Ovis aries: one gene and its partners. The protein of the gene in region 2 interacts with the protein of the main gene of each other region in a pairwise test. Links are inferred from orthologs where the notes say so. Each region holds a gene or a part of one and is shown on either strand. Other genes may lie near its edges. The genes, in order: PLOD3, RAB3IP and TRAPPC6A.

The links.
Region 1: the proteins of RAB3IP (region 2) and PLOD3 interact in binary tests that used the Homo sapiens proteins (3 or more experiments, as listed by UniProt). The link is inferred for Ovis aries from reciprocal best matches to the Homo sapiens genes RAB3IP and PLOD3.
Region 3: the proteins of RAB3IP (region 2) and TRAPPC6A interact in binary tests that used the Homo sapiens proteins (3 or more experiments, as listed by UniProt). The two-hybrid records come from large-scale screens. The link is inferred for Ovis aries from reciprocal best matches to the Homo sapiens genes RAB3IP and TRAPPC6A.

The regions. Positions count from the first base shown.
Region 1 is NC_056077.1:35,921,749-35,926,507, reverse strand, and holds the end of PLOD3 (multifunctional procollagen lysine hydroxylase and glycosyltransferase LH3), read right to left. Parts: intron 4,605-4,759; coding exon 4,536-4,604; intron 4,020-4,535; coding exon 3,915-4,019; intron 3,399-3,914; coding exon 3,252-3,398; intron 2,820-3,251; coding exon 2,694-2,819; intron 2,350-2,693; coding exon 2,194-2,349; 3' UTR 1,904-2,193; downstream 1-1,903. UniProt on the Homo sapiens protein: Multifunctional enzyme that catalyzes a series of essential post-translational modifications on Lys residues in procollagen. Plays a redundant role in catalyzing the formation of hydroxylysine residues in -Xaa-Lys-Gly- sequences in collagens.
Region 2 is NC_056056.1:149,972,088-149,977,625, reverse strand, and holds part of RAB3IP (rab-3A-interacting protein), read left to right. Parts: intron 1-3,375; 5' UTR 3,376-3,400; coding exon 3,401-3,651; intron 3,652-4,476; coding exon 4,477-4,735; intron 4,736-5,538. UniProt on the Homo sapiens protein: Guanine nucleotide exchange factor (GEF) which may activate RAB8A and RAB8B. Promotes the exchange of GDP to GTP, converting inactive GDP-bound Rab proteins into their active GTP-bound form.
Region 3 is NC_056067.1:52,606,836-52,612,373, forward strand, and holds the end of TRAPPC6A (trafficking protein particle complex subunit 6A), read right to left. Parts: intron 3,325-5,538; coding exon 3,257-3,324; intron 3,096-3,256; coding exon 2,978-3,095; intron 2,482-2,977; coding exon 2,398-2,481; intron 2,230-2,397; coding exon 2,136-2,229; intron 1,325-2,135; coding exon 1,293-1,324; 3' UTR 1,026-1,292; downstream 1-1,025. UniProt on the Homo sapiens protein: May play a role in vesicular transport during the biogenesis of melanosomes.

The DNA of each region.
Region 1 (4,759 bases), on a different chromosome or scaffold from region 2:
TGACTGGCCAAGGAAGTCCCTAAAGGTCACTTCTCGTTTCTAGTTCCTACAACATGTTGGCGCTATTTCCCATCTTGGACAAACATCCTTGAGCCCATCTTAAACTCAGTATTTTATGATGATGCTGATTTCCCCACCCCTACATCTTGACCCTCCTCACTGGTAGGACATGTCTTTTTTTTTTTTTTTTTGAATGTCACTTCTTTATCTTTTAATTTATTCATTTGGCTGTGTTAAGCAGGACCTTTCATTCCAGCACACAGACTCTATAGTTCTGGCACAAGAGTTCCCCGTCCAGAGGAGCCAGGGGTTGAGCTGCATGGGCTTAGTTTCTCTGTGGCATGTGGGATCTTAGTTCTCCGACCAGGGATCGAACCAGCATCCCCTGCATTGTAAGGTGGATTCTTAACTACTGGACCACCAGGGAAGTCCTGAGCCACGTTAAATGTCACTTCTTTTACGGAAGTCTGACACGCAACTGTCAGAAGCCTCTGTCACGCATCACATTCTCTCCTGGCACAGAATACTTTCTCTCCATCACCATGATTTTTAACGTGGACCATTTTTACGGTCCTCATTGAATTTGTTACAATGTTGCTTTTATTGTTTACATTCTGCTTTTTTGACCATAAGGCATGTGGGATCCTAGCTCCCCAGTCCGGGATCAAAGCCACACCCACTGCATTGGAAGGCAAAGTCTTAACCACTGGACCACCAGGCAAGTCTCCCATCATGGCAATTTTCTGATCAAAGTCTCCCACACACCGTGAGCAACAGAAAAATTGTGCTCATCACTGCAGCCGTCAAGATGGGTGCCCAGCGCATGGGAGACGCTCTGTGAATGAAGGGTGGAGACAGGATAGGCTTAGGCTGACACACCCTTTCTGCCCCTGTCCTTGGCCTCACACCTATGCAGCTTCACTGACCAGGGACCTTCTGTTAAGAGGGATATTTCCTCCTATCCCTGCTCAGCCCACTCGCATCACAGGGCAAGTGATGAGGGTGGTGGGGGCCTGGGTGAGATGAACTTTAGAGTCTAGCCAGAGAGACGCTCAGTCCACGTGGGAAGGTGACCCACCCAGGGGTCCAGGAAGGATGGAAGGATGGTTTCATGCATGAAGTTTTCCTGGGAATCTGGGTAGGAGGAAGGAAGGACAATTTAGCTGTGGATGCAAGTGGACTGTTAGAAGCTGGAAATGTCCTAGGACAGGTGCTTGATTTTTAAAAGGCGTCCGCCAGGGAACATTGGGAGATCAACACAGGAAGGCAGCTGGTGTAAGGCTGGGGAGGACCAGGCTAAAGGGGCCTGCTCTGCTGTCCTCAGGGTACCTCCAGGGGTCTCTGCAAGCTTTTGATGCTTGAGACTAGAGGCAAAACCAGCTCTAGGAGGTCTTTTTTTTTTTTTCAAGGCTGCTTCCCTTCCCCTTCTTCCAGGAAGCTTTCTTGGGTTCACCCTCCAGATTCCCCTCTCCTGATACCATGTGACTAAAAGCTGAGGTCCAAGCGCTCTCAATAAGTTTCCACCCTGTCTTCCCTCCTACAATGCGTGTCCCAGCACTATCCCTGGACCCTAGCTCAGGGCTGTGCCTCTCTCATCCTTTCTGCATGGGAGAAGATGCCATCAGGTGAGGAGAGAATAGGGGACGACAGTTTGGGGGCTGTGCGGGAGTGGGGGCCTCTCATCTCATCCTGACAGGGGAAGTCCTTCTCTGGGTCTGGCCTCCAACACACCCCTCCCGAGCTCTGGAATGACAAGGAAGCTTCTAGATTCCCACTCTGCTCTAATATCACGTTTCTGTCATTTCTCCTTTTCAGTTCTCCTTTGGGGTCACCCTCGGTGTCCCCTCTGCCCTGGGTGGTGGGATGGACAAGGGGTCCACAGGTAATGAAACAATAAATGGGCTCAAGAATTACAAACCCTCCTTTATTGAGAGGGAGACTGAGAAACAATAATTTATCATGTAGCGAACCCCCAGAGGTCCTGTCCCCATGAGCCCTTGGGGACCGGGGAACAGGACAGGGGGCTCCCTGAGCTTCCTGAGGGCCGTGTGGTGGGCAGCGAGGCGACACATTCAGTCCCAGGCACACAGACCCCATATACCCAGGAGGCGAGGAGTCCACACCCACCCCGCCCCAGGAGGCAGGGCGCGGGAAGGCACGATGGCACGGAAGGCTGGGCAGAGTGGCTGAGTGTCAGGGGTCGACAAAGGACACCATGATGTAGCGGGTGCCCCGAGTGGTGGGCAGCCCCTCATGGTAGTGGGTGAGACGGCCCGGGTGCAGGAGCCCCCAGCCCTTCCTGGGGGACGAGATCACACAGTCGTAGCGCAGGAAGCGGCATCCACCTCCCTGGAGAGACGAGAGGGGAAGGGGCTGGAGAGTGCGCAGACGTGGGGACTGGGTGGTGAGCTGCCCCGAGGCGAGAGAGGCCAAACTGGGCATCAGGGAGGGAGGGGACAAGAGGGGTGAGCATCGGCAGATGGGGGACACAGGACACAGGGGGTAGCCAGCCCAGAAGGGGTCCAGAATATGACCCCAGAGGTCACTGGGAGATGTGACGAGGGCAGACAAGGGGCAGGGAGGTGACCGTGCCTGTGAGGGGGCTGGACACAGGGCCTGGGGGAGGGGAGTGCGTGTGTGTCTGTGTGTGTGGAGGGGCCCGGGGGAACCCTGAGTGGAGGGTAGGGACTCACCTCATAATCCAGGCCCTTGTGGTTGAGGGCGACATTGAGGGTGAAGGTGGATGAGTCGTGATGCGGCCGCAGAGAGGGCTGCTCATCCGGTCGGTAGCGGACCACGAAGTTCATCACCGCCCGGGTCTGCGGGCACAGGGGAGGAGAGGCTGGGGGGATGGCCGGGAGGGTTCTCACTGCTCCCTGGGGGCTGCTCCCCCAGAGCTTCCCTCCTGCAAGGTCTCACTCTGTGTGTTTGACTCTTTGCGACCCCATGGACTGCAGCCTGCCAGGCTCCTCTGTCCATGGGATTCTCCAGACAAGAACACTGGAGTGGGCTGCCGTGCTCGCCTCCAGGGGATCTTCCCGACCCAGGGATCCACCCGACCCAGGGATCCACCCAGGTCTCCTGCATCACAAGCGGCTTCTTTACCATCTGAGCCACCAGGGGAGCCCGGATCTCACTCTATGGGGCCTATTTAAATGTTTCACAGGCCAAAAGGCATTGTGTGGAGCCGTCCAGCCAGCACAGGTGTGGGAAGGCGGAGGAGGGAGCAGGGGTGGCGTGCAGTGGCCCACCTTGGTGTGGTAGCCGGGGAACAGGCTCTCGGTCATGGGTCCCACATACGTCCTCAGGAGCTGTAGCCACTGGTCCTCGTAGCCCACCTGTTTCATGTGGATGTCCACAGTGGGCACGTTCTCGTAGCCTCCCGCCAGCCTAGAGTCCTGTGGGTACAGAGCTGACGCAGTGGTGCCAACTTCTCCTCCTCTTGCTCCCAGGCCTTGGAAGTCTGCGCTCCCTCCTTCTGGAAGTCTCCGCCACGTCTTAGCTGACTCACACCTCCTTCCTCTAAGTCTCAGCGAAGATGTCACCTCTTCTGTGAAGCCCTCGGTCCCCCCGCATCTGGGTCAAGTTTCCCACCTGTGACTCCCGCAGCACTGAGGCTGTCCATCACAGACTTCAGAAGCTAGCTCCCTGCTGCTACTGACGGCAGGTGGGGCTGTGGAGGGCAGAGCTCCACCTGCACGTCCAGGTCAGGGGCTGGTGTCTAAGGACCTGCCCAGGGAGTATTTCTTGAATGCACGGTGGAATGAAAGAATACAGAGGTGCCCCCTGTCTGCCTTTTCCTGCTCGGGGACCCCCTCTCTGTTCCCACTCTCCAGATTCCATTTTCCCTCAATCAGGGAAATGCCCCCTCCCTCCTCCTGGGGGCCCCCTCCTCCGCGGTCCAGGCCCCTCACCTCATGCCGGCCTCCTGACCACTGGCCGTAGTGTTCCATTTCCTCCACCAGCTCATCGCACATTTGCTCAGACAGGAGAGGAAACCAGTACACGTCTGGGCAGGGCTGAGTCAGGACGGGGCAGGGGAAGAAGAAAACAGGGCTGGGTGATGCTCCAGAAGGGGACAGGCAGCCAGTGGGAGGAGACAGAAAGCAGGGAGCAGAAAGGTAAGCCAGGACAGGAGAGAACGTGGAGGGACGGGCAGCTGAGCGTGGGGATGGGCTGGTCGGGGGAGTCAGGAAGGGGACCGATGCGGCCAGAGAAGGTGAGAGCAGTGCTCAGAACTCGGCACAGACAGCACGGTTGCTGGAGCCCTGGGTTCTGGGACAGTGGTTTTCAACCTCGTTTTAAAAAATGTCATTTCACCCATACACCAACACACCCAACGGACAAGGGAGGACCACTGGGATGAATGTTGGGCTGGGGGCTGCATGCCTATCAACTCAGCCCTTGCCTTTGTCTTGCCTGAGCAGAAAACCCCCAGGCACCTGGGCAAGGACCCTGGGAGAACCCCTCATCCAGGTGGTGGGCCCCAGGGGCAGCGGCCATCCCCTTGGGCCGGGGTCCTGAGCGGGGCTCACCTGTTCCACGAGCCCCTCCCCTTCCAGGGCCCGACTGTAGTTCTCGTGAATATACTGCTCCTTCCAGTCCTAGGGGAGAGTGGGGGGGTGCTCCTTGACCTTTGCCCTCTTCACACCACTTGCTCCCACCTGGGAGGACCCCTGCCCAGGCGGCAGGCGACCCTGCCCAGTGCGCACGCGCGTGTGATGGGGCCGGGGCGTGGCATTCCCCTTCAGGGAAGGCC
Region 2 (5,538 bases):
TGTCATCTGCGTATCTGAGGTTATTGATATTTCTCCCAGCAGTCTTGATTCCAGCTTATGCTTCTTCCAGCCCAGCGTTTCTCATGATGTACTCTGCATATAAGTTAAATAAGCGGGATGACAATATACAGCCTTGACATACTCCTTTTCCTATTTGAAACCAGTCTGTTGTTCCATGTCCAGTTCTGACTGTTGCTTCCTGACCTGCATACAGGATTCTCAAGAGGCAGGTCAGATGGTCTTGTATTCTCATCTCTTTCAGAATTTTCCACAGCTTATTGTGATCCACACAGTCAAAGGCTTTGGCATAGTCAATAAAGCAGAGATAGATGTTTTTCTGGAACTCTCTTCCTTTTTCCATGATCCATCAGATGTTGGCAATTTGATCTCTGGTTCCTCTGTCTTTTCTAAAACCAGCTTGAACATCAGGAAGTTCACGGTTCACGTACTGCTGAAGCCTGGCTTGGAGAACTTTAAGCATGACTTTACTAGCATGTGAAATAAGTGCAATTGTGCGGTAGTTTGAGCATTCTTTGGCATTGCCTTTCTTTGGGATTGGAATGAAAACTGACCTTTTCGGGTCCTGCTGCCACTGCTGAGTTTTCCAAATTTGCTGGGATATTTAGTGCAGCACTTTCACAGCATCATCTTTGAGGCTTTGAAATAGCTCAACTGGAATTCCATCACCTCCACTAGCTTTGTTCGTAGTGATGCTTTCTAAGGCCCACTTGACTTCACATGCCAGGATGTCTGGCTCTAGGCAAGTGATCACACTGTCATGATTATCTTGGTCATGAAGATCTTTTTTGTACAGTTCTTCTGTGTATTCTTGCCATTTCTTAATATCTTCTGCTTCTGTTCAGTCCTTACCATTTCTGTCCTTTGTCGAGCCCATCTTTGCATGAAATATTCCCTTGGTATGTCTGATTTTTTTGAAGAGATCGCTAGTGTTTCCCATTCTGTTGTTTTCCTCTATTTCTTTGCATTGATTGCTGATGAAGGCTTTCTTATCTTTTCTTGCTATTCTTTGGAACTCTGCATTCAGATGCTTATGTCTTTCCTTTTCTCCTTTGCTTTTCACTTCTCTTCTTTTCACAGCTATTTGTAAGGCCTCCTCAGAGAGCCATTTTGCTTTTTTGCATTTCTTTTTCTTGGAGATGGTCTTGATCCCTGTCTCCTGTACAATGTCACGAACCTCAGTCCATAGTTCATTAGGCGCTCTGTCTATCGGATCTAGCCCCTGAAATCTATTTCTCACTTCCACTGTATAGTCATAAGGGATTTGATTTAGGTCATACCTGAATGGTTTAGTGGTTTTCCCTACTTTCGTCAATTTAAGTCTGAATTTGTCCATAAGGAGTTCATGTTCTGAGCCACAGTCAGCCCCTTGTCTTGTTTTTGCTGACTGTATAGAGCTTCTCCATCTTTGGCTGCAAAGAATATAATCAGTCTGATTTCGCTGTTGACCGTCTGGTGATGTCCACATGTAGAGTCTTCTCTTGTGTTGTTGGAAGAGGGTGTTTGCTATGACCAGTGCATTCTCTTCGCAAAATTCTATTAGCCTTTGCCCTGCTTCATTCTATATTCCAAGGCCAAATTTGCCTGTTACTCCAGGTGTTTCTTGACTTCCTACTTTTGCATTCTACTCCCTTACAATGAAAAGGACATCTTTTGTGGGTGTTAGTTCTAAAAGGTCTTGTAGGTCTTCATAGAATGGTTCAACTTCAGCTTCTTCAATGTTACTGGTTGGGGCATAGACTTGGATTCCTGTGATATTGAATGGTTTGCCTTGGAAATGAACAGAGATCATTCGTTTTTGAGATTGTATCCAAGTACTGCATTTCAGACTCTTTTGTTGACCATGATGGCTACTCCATTTCTTCTAAGGGATTCCTGCCCACGGTAGTAGATATAATGGTCATCTGAGTTAAATTCACCCAGTCCAGTCCATTTTAGTTCGCTGATTCCTAGAATGTTGATGTTCACTCTTGCCATCTCCTGTTTGACCACTTCCAATTTGCCTTGATTCATGGACCTAACATTCCAGGTTCCTATGCAGTATTGCTCTTTACAGCATCAGACCTTGCTTCTATCACCAGTCACATCCACAGCTGGGTATTGTTGCTCTTTACAGCATCAGACCTTGCTTCTATCACCAGTCACATCCACAGCTGGGTATTGTTTTTTCTTTGGCTCCATCCCTTCATTCTTTCTGGAGTTATTTCTCCATTTGTCTACAGCAGCATATTGGGGACCTGCTGACCTGGGGAGTTCCTCTTTCAGTATTGTATCATTTTGCCTTTTTATACTGTTCATGGAGTTCTCAAGGCAAGAATACTGAAGTGGTTTGCCTTTCCCTTCTCCAGTGGACCACATTCTCAGACTTCTGCACCATGACCTGCCCGTTGGGTGGCCCCACAGGGCATGGCTTAGTTTCATTGATTTTGACAAGGCTGTGGTCCTGGTGTGATTAGATTAACTAGTTTTCTGTGAGTGTGGTTTCAGTGTGTCTGCCCTCTGATGCCCTCTTGCAACACCTACCGTCTTACTTGGGTTTCTCTTATCTTGGATGAGGGGTATCTCCTCACCGCCGCCCCTCCTGACCTTGAACATGGAGTATCTCCTCTCAGCCCTCAGATTTAAGGCTTAGAGAAATGTAATGCATTATCCTGGGCCTATTGGGAACATTATTAGGATAATCAGTGAACTTTGATTGGGGCCTGTTGTTTAGATGGTAATAGTGATTAGTGTTAATGACATCTTGATTTTGGTGATGTGTTACTTAGGATATAGACACTGAGATGTTAAGAGGTAATGCTTATCATGTGTAAAATCTATTCTCAAATGGTTCTAAAATGTTAACAGTTTCATAATGTGGGTGAAATATATATATATATATATCTGCAACTTTTTGTAAATCTGAAATTATTTCAGAATAAAAGAAGAGAAAACACTGAGTCATCCAGTCACGTGTGACTTTCTTTGAAGCGGAACAGAATAGTTCATTGAACCTCATCTCTCTTACTCCGAGTGTGTGTATCTGTCTGTCTTTACTGCTGCTTCTTTTTCTAACCAAAGACACATATGATAGCAAAGTTAATATCAAGCAAATTTTTATTCATTCCTCATTGTTACTTATTAAATTACTTACTGTAACAGTGTTATCCATCACTTTCAAGTTTATTTTGAATCAGATCATTTTCCTTTTATAGTATTTATACTCTGAGGTCACTTATTAAATTTTAAATCACTGTAGTTTTTTTCCTGTTTAATTTTATATTTTATAATGGATTGTTAAACACATTCTATAAATATACATCTTACTTTAATTTTAAATGTCAGTATCTCAAAATATTTTTCTGCTTTTTAATGTAGGTGGTTCTATGATGAGGCTTTTGCTATGGCTAATGACCCCTTGGAAGGCTTCCATGAAGTGAACCTTGCTTCACCTACTTCTCCAGACCTCCTTGCTGTGTATGAACCAGGAACTCAAGAGCAGACTACCTCACCTAGCGTCATCTACCGGCCGCATCCTTCAGCTTTGTGCTCCACCCCTATCCAGGCTAATGCCTTAGATGTTTCTGACCTTCCTACACAACCTGTGTATTCCTCCCCAAGACGTTTAAATTGTGCTGAAATATCCAGTGGCAGGTAGGAGAGAATCAAGATGCTTGTTTTAGAGCATTGTATTAAACAAATGAATTTTGCTTGGTTAACTTATTTTAAGTTTTATTATTTTAGAAAATTTGAATAATATAAGGTTGTTTATGAAGAGTAATACATGTTAATGATTAAGAGCAGGGGTCGCAGACTTTTTATGTAAAGGGCCAAATAGCAAATATTTTAGGCTTTGTGGGCTACACAGTCTCTGTTTTGACTGCTGGACATGACTACTAAGGTGTAAAAGTAGTCATAAAAGTGAAGTCGCTCAGTCGTGTCCGACTCTTTGAAACCTTGTGGACTGTAGCCTGCCAGGCTCCTCCATCCATGGGATTTTCCAGGCAAGAATACTGGAGTGGGTTGCCATTTCCTTCTCCAAAAGTAGTCATAGGCAGTATGTAAATGGATAAGCGCCAGTAAAACTTTGTATGTGAACCTTGAATTTTGGATTTTATATAATTTTCTTGAGCCACAAAATATTACTATTTTGATTATTTTCAAGCATTTGAAAATGTAAAAATCAGTTTTGGCTTGTGGGCCTTCAGGGAACAGGTGGCAGGCTGGATTGATTCTGCATTTAGTTTGCAGACCCCTGTTCTAGAGTTTCACTATCGAATAGAACTTTCTGGCATGATGAAAATATTCTCTGTGGCTATGATGGCTATGAAGGACTTGAAATGTTGTTGCTTTGGGTCTGGACATACTATTAATTAGTTCTGGTGGTGAACAAATTGGATAATGGAGTTACAGGCATGTGTGTTTATGCCAGTTAATACTTGAGCACTTGCTGATGTTTGTTTGAACTCTCCTTTACAGCGTCCATGGTACAGATCCAGCACCTTGTTCTACCTCTGGAGTCACAGCTGGGTTACTTAAACTAACTACAAGAAAGGACAACTGTAGTGCAGAGAGGGAGTTTTTACAGGGTGCTACTATAACAGAAGCTTGTGATGGCAGTGATGATATTTTTGGGTTGAGTACTGATAGTCTGTCCCGCTTACGAAGCCCATCTGTTTTGGAAGTTAGAGAAAAGGGCTATGAAAGATTAAAAGAAGAACTTGCAAAAGCTCAGAGGGTAAGCAAAAATATATTTTATTCTTCTATATGTTACATTGAAAATGAATATTTGTCCATGGGGGCAACTCAAGTGAAATTATAGTTCTACACTTTTCCTTTGCATATGCGCAGTCTCAGTTGCTGTTGGGCAGCATTTAGGAATCTGGGAACTGGTCTCAATAGTAAAGAAGCTCATCCAAGAATACGAATGGAAGAAAAGAGACTCTAATTCTTTTTCCCCCCTTTCCTTCTCTTGCATTTTCTGTAGTGCAGATTTGGGGAGCTACATTCTGTGTGTGGATTTTTTTCCTCTCTACACGTGGTTGATTTTGTGATTATTTACTTGAAGCCATTAGATCCAAGTCATTATATTTTGAGGAATAGTTTTAGTAATAATTCAGCTAAATTTGAATGTTTTCTGTATCTTAACTTGGAGATTTGTCTTTTTTCATAATTTGTTCTATTTCTCACTTGCTCATCTTTTACATTTCTGATATTCCCAAATTTGTGACTAAATTTCTTTCTTTTTCTGAGTCTGTAATTAAACTTTAAAGGGACATTTGTAGCGCTAAGTATTTATACATTAGAGAAAAGGAAAAGTTTCAAATCAACAATCTAGTCTCCCACTTTAAGAAACTAGAAAAAGATGAGCAAAATAAAACCAGAAGCAAGCAGAAGGAAGAAAATAATAAAAAGCAGAAACAATGAAATTGGTAACATAAAAAGTAGAGAAAATGAACAAAACAAAGGCTGGTTCTTTAAAAAGATCAATAAAATTGACAAGCCTCTAACAAGACCAAAAAAAAAAACAAGAATAGAAGA
Region 3 (5,538 bases), on a different chromosome or scaffold from region 2:
GCTGGCCCTGGGTCTTTCCCCCGCTCCCTCACCCCTGCCCGCCTGCCTGCAGAGTTTAGCTGAGTGACCGAGATTCATCTAGGACTCATCCTGGACAGTGCCAGCCCCCAGCCAGGGACCCACGGGGAAGCGCAAGTGAGCAGCTGCTGCAGGGGATTTGGTGGGGAGCGGAGGCTGCAGGCTGCCGGAGTAGGAGTCTGGGGAGGGGGCCAGGCAGGAAAGGCCTGTGCTAAGGCTCAGAGGCAACCCGGGGACTGCGGGGCTCGGCTGTGTGTGCTGGGGAGGGGGCTGCATACGATGTCTGCACCAGACGCTATGCAGGCAGAGGAGCCCCAGCCCCTGGGGGGGTCTTAGGCAAGGGGACCCCTCCTCCTCCCATGCGGGTCAATCCCAGCCTCAGGTTACAGCTCTGAGGCCGAGGTACTTACCCACCTCAGGCAGCGAGTGGCAGAGCCCGGCAGAGTCCAAATGGGTGATGCCCCCAGATGCTATGAATGTAAACACGGGAGGTGGTGGCAGGGGGTGGGGTGTGGGCACGGAGGCTGAACTGCCCAGAGACTAGTCAGCGGCGCCATTGTTCTGGGTATGACTCGTATCCGCCAGGCACGTTAAGCGTGTATTCGATAGAGTGTGTGTGTGTGTTAGGGGAGTGGAGGGTGTCTGGCCCACCCACTCACCTATCCTTGTTCCTGGCGGCCCCCCCAGGCCAGCCCACACCTGGCAGCAACTCCAGGGGCCAATGGCCTTGCTCCCAGGGAGAGGTCCGTTCTTTGGACCCCGCTGAGCAGAGAGCAGCCCCAGACTTGTCCATGCTGGCAAGGCTGCCTGTGCTGGGGGCCATCCTCCCCTGCCAGGTATGTGGGGCGGGAGGCGGCCAGCCACAGGGACTCGGCGGGGAGGAAGGGACTCGGCGGGGAGGAAGCCCCACGGGGTACCTCCACACTGGGCCCGTGACACACAGTCGCTTTGCCCCTGCCCCCAGCACCTCCCCCCCGCCACCGCCCCGCTTTCCACTCTGAGTCTGGTTCCACTTACAGAACCTTTATTGAGCGCCTGCCCTGTGGAGGGACATGTGTGGTGCAGACCCCCTCCACACCGGCCCTGAATGCCTTGGGGACCACCTGGCCCCCGGGACACCCCCACCTCCCTCTGACACCCATCTCTTGGGCATCTGTGACACCCTGCAGTGCGGGGACCCCGTCTCCCCAGCACCAGCCCCCAGCACAGGCAGCAGCGGGGTTCTCTGGGCCAGGGTGCTGTGAAGCTCGTCTGGGAGTGGGACCTGGGGCTCCTCAAGGTTTCTGGATCACCACCTGGAATTTACCTGGAAGAGAAGGGCTGGCCTGAGCTCGAGGCTGGGGCCGGAGGGGAGAGGTGGCACCCCAGCTGCTCTGAGCCGTTCACCCGGGCCCAGTGCCCTCAGCCTGGGTGGCCCTGGTTGGACCTCATTGCCTCGCTGGCCTGAGATGATGGTGCCCTAGCCCCACCCCTGGCCTGTGCCCCAGGGCTGTGTGGGTGGCTGGGGGCACGAAGGGCAGGCAGCAGGTCAGGCACGTAGGTTGTCGGGGAGGGACCTGGCCCAGTTTCAGTGGCACATGTGGCTCAGATCCTGCCGGCTTGGGCCCCAGTCCCCTATGATGTGTGGCCCTGGGGACTGGCAGAGGGGAAGACGCCCGAGGGAAGGGTGCGTGGAGGGCTGGTCGCAGGCAGCCCCCAGGGAAGGGTGGGGCCTCGGCTTGTCCTTTGGCGGGCACTGTGGGCCAGCAGGGCCCCGGGGTCAGGAGGACACCCCCTCACACTGGCTGCCTTTGGAGCTCCTCAGCCCAGCACCGCCCACCCCACCATCCCCAGGTGACTCCTATTGTGTCCACCTGGGTTCTTGCACTGGGAAGAGTGTTGGAAAACACTAGCCCAGGTCCTTGTCGTCGGCTGTCCCCGCCAGGCTGGCACGCCCAGGGAAGCAGTCTAGGAGGACATCGGGGGCAGGGCCGTGGATGGGCTGCACCTCCTGTGTGGCCTGGGCCTGGGACTTCAGCTCTCTGGGCCATAGATTCCCATCTGCAGTGGGGCTGGGCGGCCCGGCCCCACCTCCACGGCCCCTGGGAGCAGGGGGGATCCCCCCCACCCCAACTCACAGGCGGGCAGGGCTGCCACGGAGGCGGTGACCAGGCTCTTGACTCCCAGGGTGCTGAGGGTGCCACGCAGGAGGCCGCAGGTGAAGGCCAGGAACTAGGGGCGGGGCACACAGGTCACCGTGGGCAGAGCAGGGGGAGGCCAACACCCCGGGGCCACGTGGGCTTGAGCGTTCACAGCGGGGTGGAATGGGTCCGCCTCCCTCTCCCAGGGTCCTGGGCTTGGGAAGAGGCCTCTGCCCCAGGCTGGAATCACGCCCGGTACCTTGGGTGCTTCCTCCAGGTACTGTAGACCCGAGGCCATCCGGACGAGGAGGGGAAAGCTGTTGTCCTGCAGGACGTAGGTCCCCTGGGGACAGAGGAGGGTCCCAGGGAGCCGATGTGGCACCTGTACCTTCCTGGTGGGGGCAGGGAGGGGAGGCAAGGGCCCAGCACCGCCACCCTGAGGTCCGGAAGGACCCTTCCCACAAAATGGCTGTGGTCGGTCTTGGGCCGTCCTTCGAGGCTATATGAGGACCCGTGGACCCTCCGACCAGGGCCTGGTGTCCTCCCCTCCACGCCCCTGCTGCACGATTTCCAGGGTGCCCGGTGGGGAGAAGATACAGCCCAGGCCATCAGGCCACCAGCCAGGCCCAGCGTGGGTGCCTAATGGGAACGAGGCTCGGGTGCAGACAAGCCGCGTCAGGCCGAGGCACAGCCGCAAGCCGCGAGGGGCCTGTCCTGGGGGGCCTTGTGGGGAGGCCCCGAGGGGAGCTGAGCCTGCTGTGACTGCCCTGAGCCTGGGTCCCCTCCCTGGGTTCCCGGGGCTCCGGCCTCTGCCCGCTGTCTGCCCGGGGGGCACACACCTGGTGGTTGGTGCGGAGGCTATCCATCTGCTTGTGGAACACGGCCACCCACAGGTCTTTGCACAGGAACTTGAGGATGTCCAGCTCTTCCCTGAAGGCTAGCGTTTCCCGGGGCAGCCTGGGGGGGGAGCAGCAGCAGACACTGTGGGGGCCAGGCTGGGGGAGCCCCGGGGTGAGGAACAGGGAGGAGACTGGCTTGGGATCCTGTCTGGATCGAGGCACCCTCCCCACCCATTTGCCCAGGAAGGGAGCCCACTGCAGGTCCTGCCCGCCTCTCACCTCTCGCCCAGGGCCTGGCCCACACGGAAGCCCATGCCCTCCAGGACCAACAAGCTGGTCTTCTGTCCCTAGAAGGCCAAGGAAGGGAGGCTCAGGGGCCCTCGGCCACCTCCAGCCGGGAGCCAGCCGGTATAGCAGCTGAGGGGGGCTTGTGTGTCCCTGCTGGTGCAGGGAGACAAGACCCAGGATAGAGGGCTTCCTGAGTGGCAGGCTGGATCCACAGACCGCACCGGCCCTCAGGCTCCGCTCGCCCTCACTCCGGGAAACACGGGGGTCCTGCCTAGGCTCAGCCTCACCTGTTGTCTTTCCTTGCAACTCCCATCACTTCCTGAGTGTACTTTCAGCGTCCGTCCTTAAACGCCCTGTGGGGTAGCACTCCCGTCACCCCAGAAACTCAAGGTGACTTGCCCTGGGGCTCATATGGCGAGCAAGGGGGCTGCAGTGGAGGGGCCACAGGGGTGGGCCCCCGGATGGGCCAGCAGGCGGATGAAACGTCAACTGTGATTATGAGGCCTTAAATATGAGCCGAGACTCCTGGGAGGGACCCGCAGGGGCTCAGGGGAGGCAGGGGTGGCCAAGTGGCCTTCCGGGGGGCCGGGCCAGGCCAGGGTCCCGCGGTGGGGGTGCTGAGGCGTGGGGACTGAGCGGCAGGAGGCCGCACTTGGTGTCTGTCCAGGTGTCCTGGAGCGTGGCTGGAGGAGAGCCGACCTGTGTATGTGGCCCATCTGTGTGACCCGGAGAGCGCTGAGCAGCAGAAATGCCAAGACGGAGTCAGGGGGGCCAGGCACACACCGGGGGGCGTGTGAGGAACATGCTGAATGAGCCGAGTGAGGAATCGGGACCTGGGCCTACGCTGTGCCAGCTGCCTTGTGCAGACCCCTTGTTTAACAGCCCCATAAGGTAGGTTGTGTTTCACATCTGGAGACCGGGGCACAGAGGGGTTAGGTCAGACCTCCCAGAGGCACCTTCGGACCTGAGCAGGTCCGGCTCCTGCATGTAGGTGGCTGACGGGCAGGCGACCAGGGCAACACTCGCAGCTGTCCGTGCCCCAGGGAAGTGGCAAGGGCTGACGTCGGCTGAGGGGAGGTGCCAGGAGTGGGTGGGGAGCCGGAGCAGAGGTGCCTCGCGTGATGGCCCCCTCCTCTGCTGGGCCACGTGACACCCAGACCCTGGCCCACCATTCTGCCTTCCTCCTGTGGGAACCGGGTCTGGGGAAGGACACAGCTTCCTGCCCGTGACACCGGCGTGTGCTCTCTGCTGTCCTCCGGCACGGCAGGGCTGGCCTCGGGGGGGGCAGGCTGACTCGATGACTAAGGTGTTCGAGGTCTGAGCTCGGGTGTGAGGGGCAGTGAGGGGAACACATGCCTGGTGGCTGGGTACAGGGTCCGGATCCTTACCAGCTGTGGGCCTGGGGCAGTGGCCAGCTGCCCTGTGCCTCAGTGTCGTCCCGTGTAAAACAAGGACCTTCCCAGGGCCCTCGTGAGGATTAAAGGAGTGGATAAGTGCGAGCCAAGCACCCCGAGTCGGGCTGGGGAAGTGGTACTGTCGCCATTTGCAGCCTCTGCACCTGTCAGCCTGCTGATGAGCTGGGGATGGTGAAAGGAAAGGGAAAGCCCACAAAGGAGGGGCTCTGTTCTGTGGGCGGGCGAGTCTCAGCACCTGGTTCCCTGCCCAGCCCTCGCCAGGCCTCTGCTGCTCTTACATCACCTCCCTGCTCAGGGGAACTCCTGGAGGGGGCCGGACGGGGCTCCGCTTTGACCCAGCGCACCTGTGTTCCCAGGACACCCCCATTCATCCTGCGGTCACTTCCTAGCTCCCGTCCAGAGCTCGCACACCGTGCCTAGTGGGGATGGCAAGCTGGTGACAGGGTTAAGGGGGGGGCGCAATCTCCCAGGGGTGGCTGACCGGCAGCTCGCAGCACAGCAGCTGTTGCTGTTGGCCCCACGGTCCCAGCCCTCGAAAGAGGCTGCAGTGCAGAGACTGGGGGTGGGAGGGAGAGGGGGCATAAGGCCAGCAGGGCGGAGAGGCGGTGGGGAGGGGCGGGGGAGGAAGTGTGACAGGGGGTGGGGTTTGGGGGAGGGGAGGGCGGCAGGGCGGGCACACCCCAGGCCCTGCAAAAGCTCCTCGACACTAGGGGGTCATCACTGCTAGTGATGGGCGAGGGGCCTCTCCCATCCTGTCCTGAGCCTCTGGAGCCCAGCCCAGAGCCAGTGCGTTTCTGGGCTCCCCACATCCGGTTTACACGAGAGCCCACGGAGAGGAACTGAGATGATGGGAGAAGC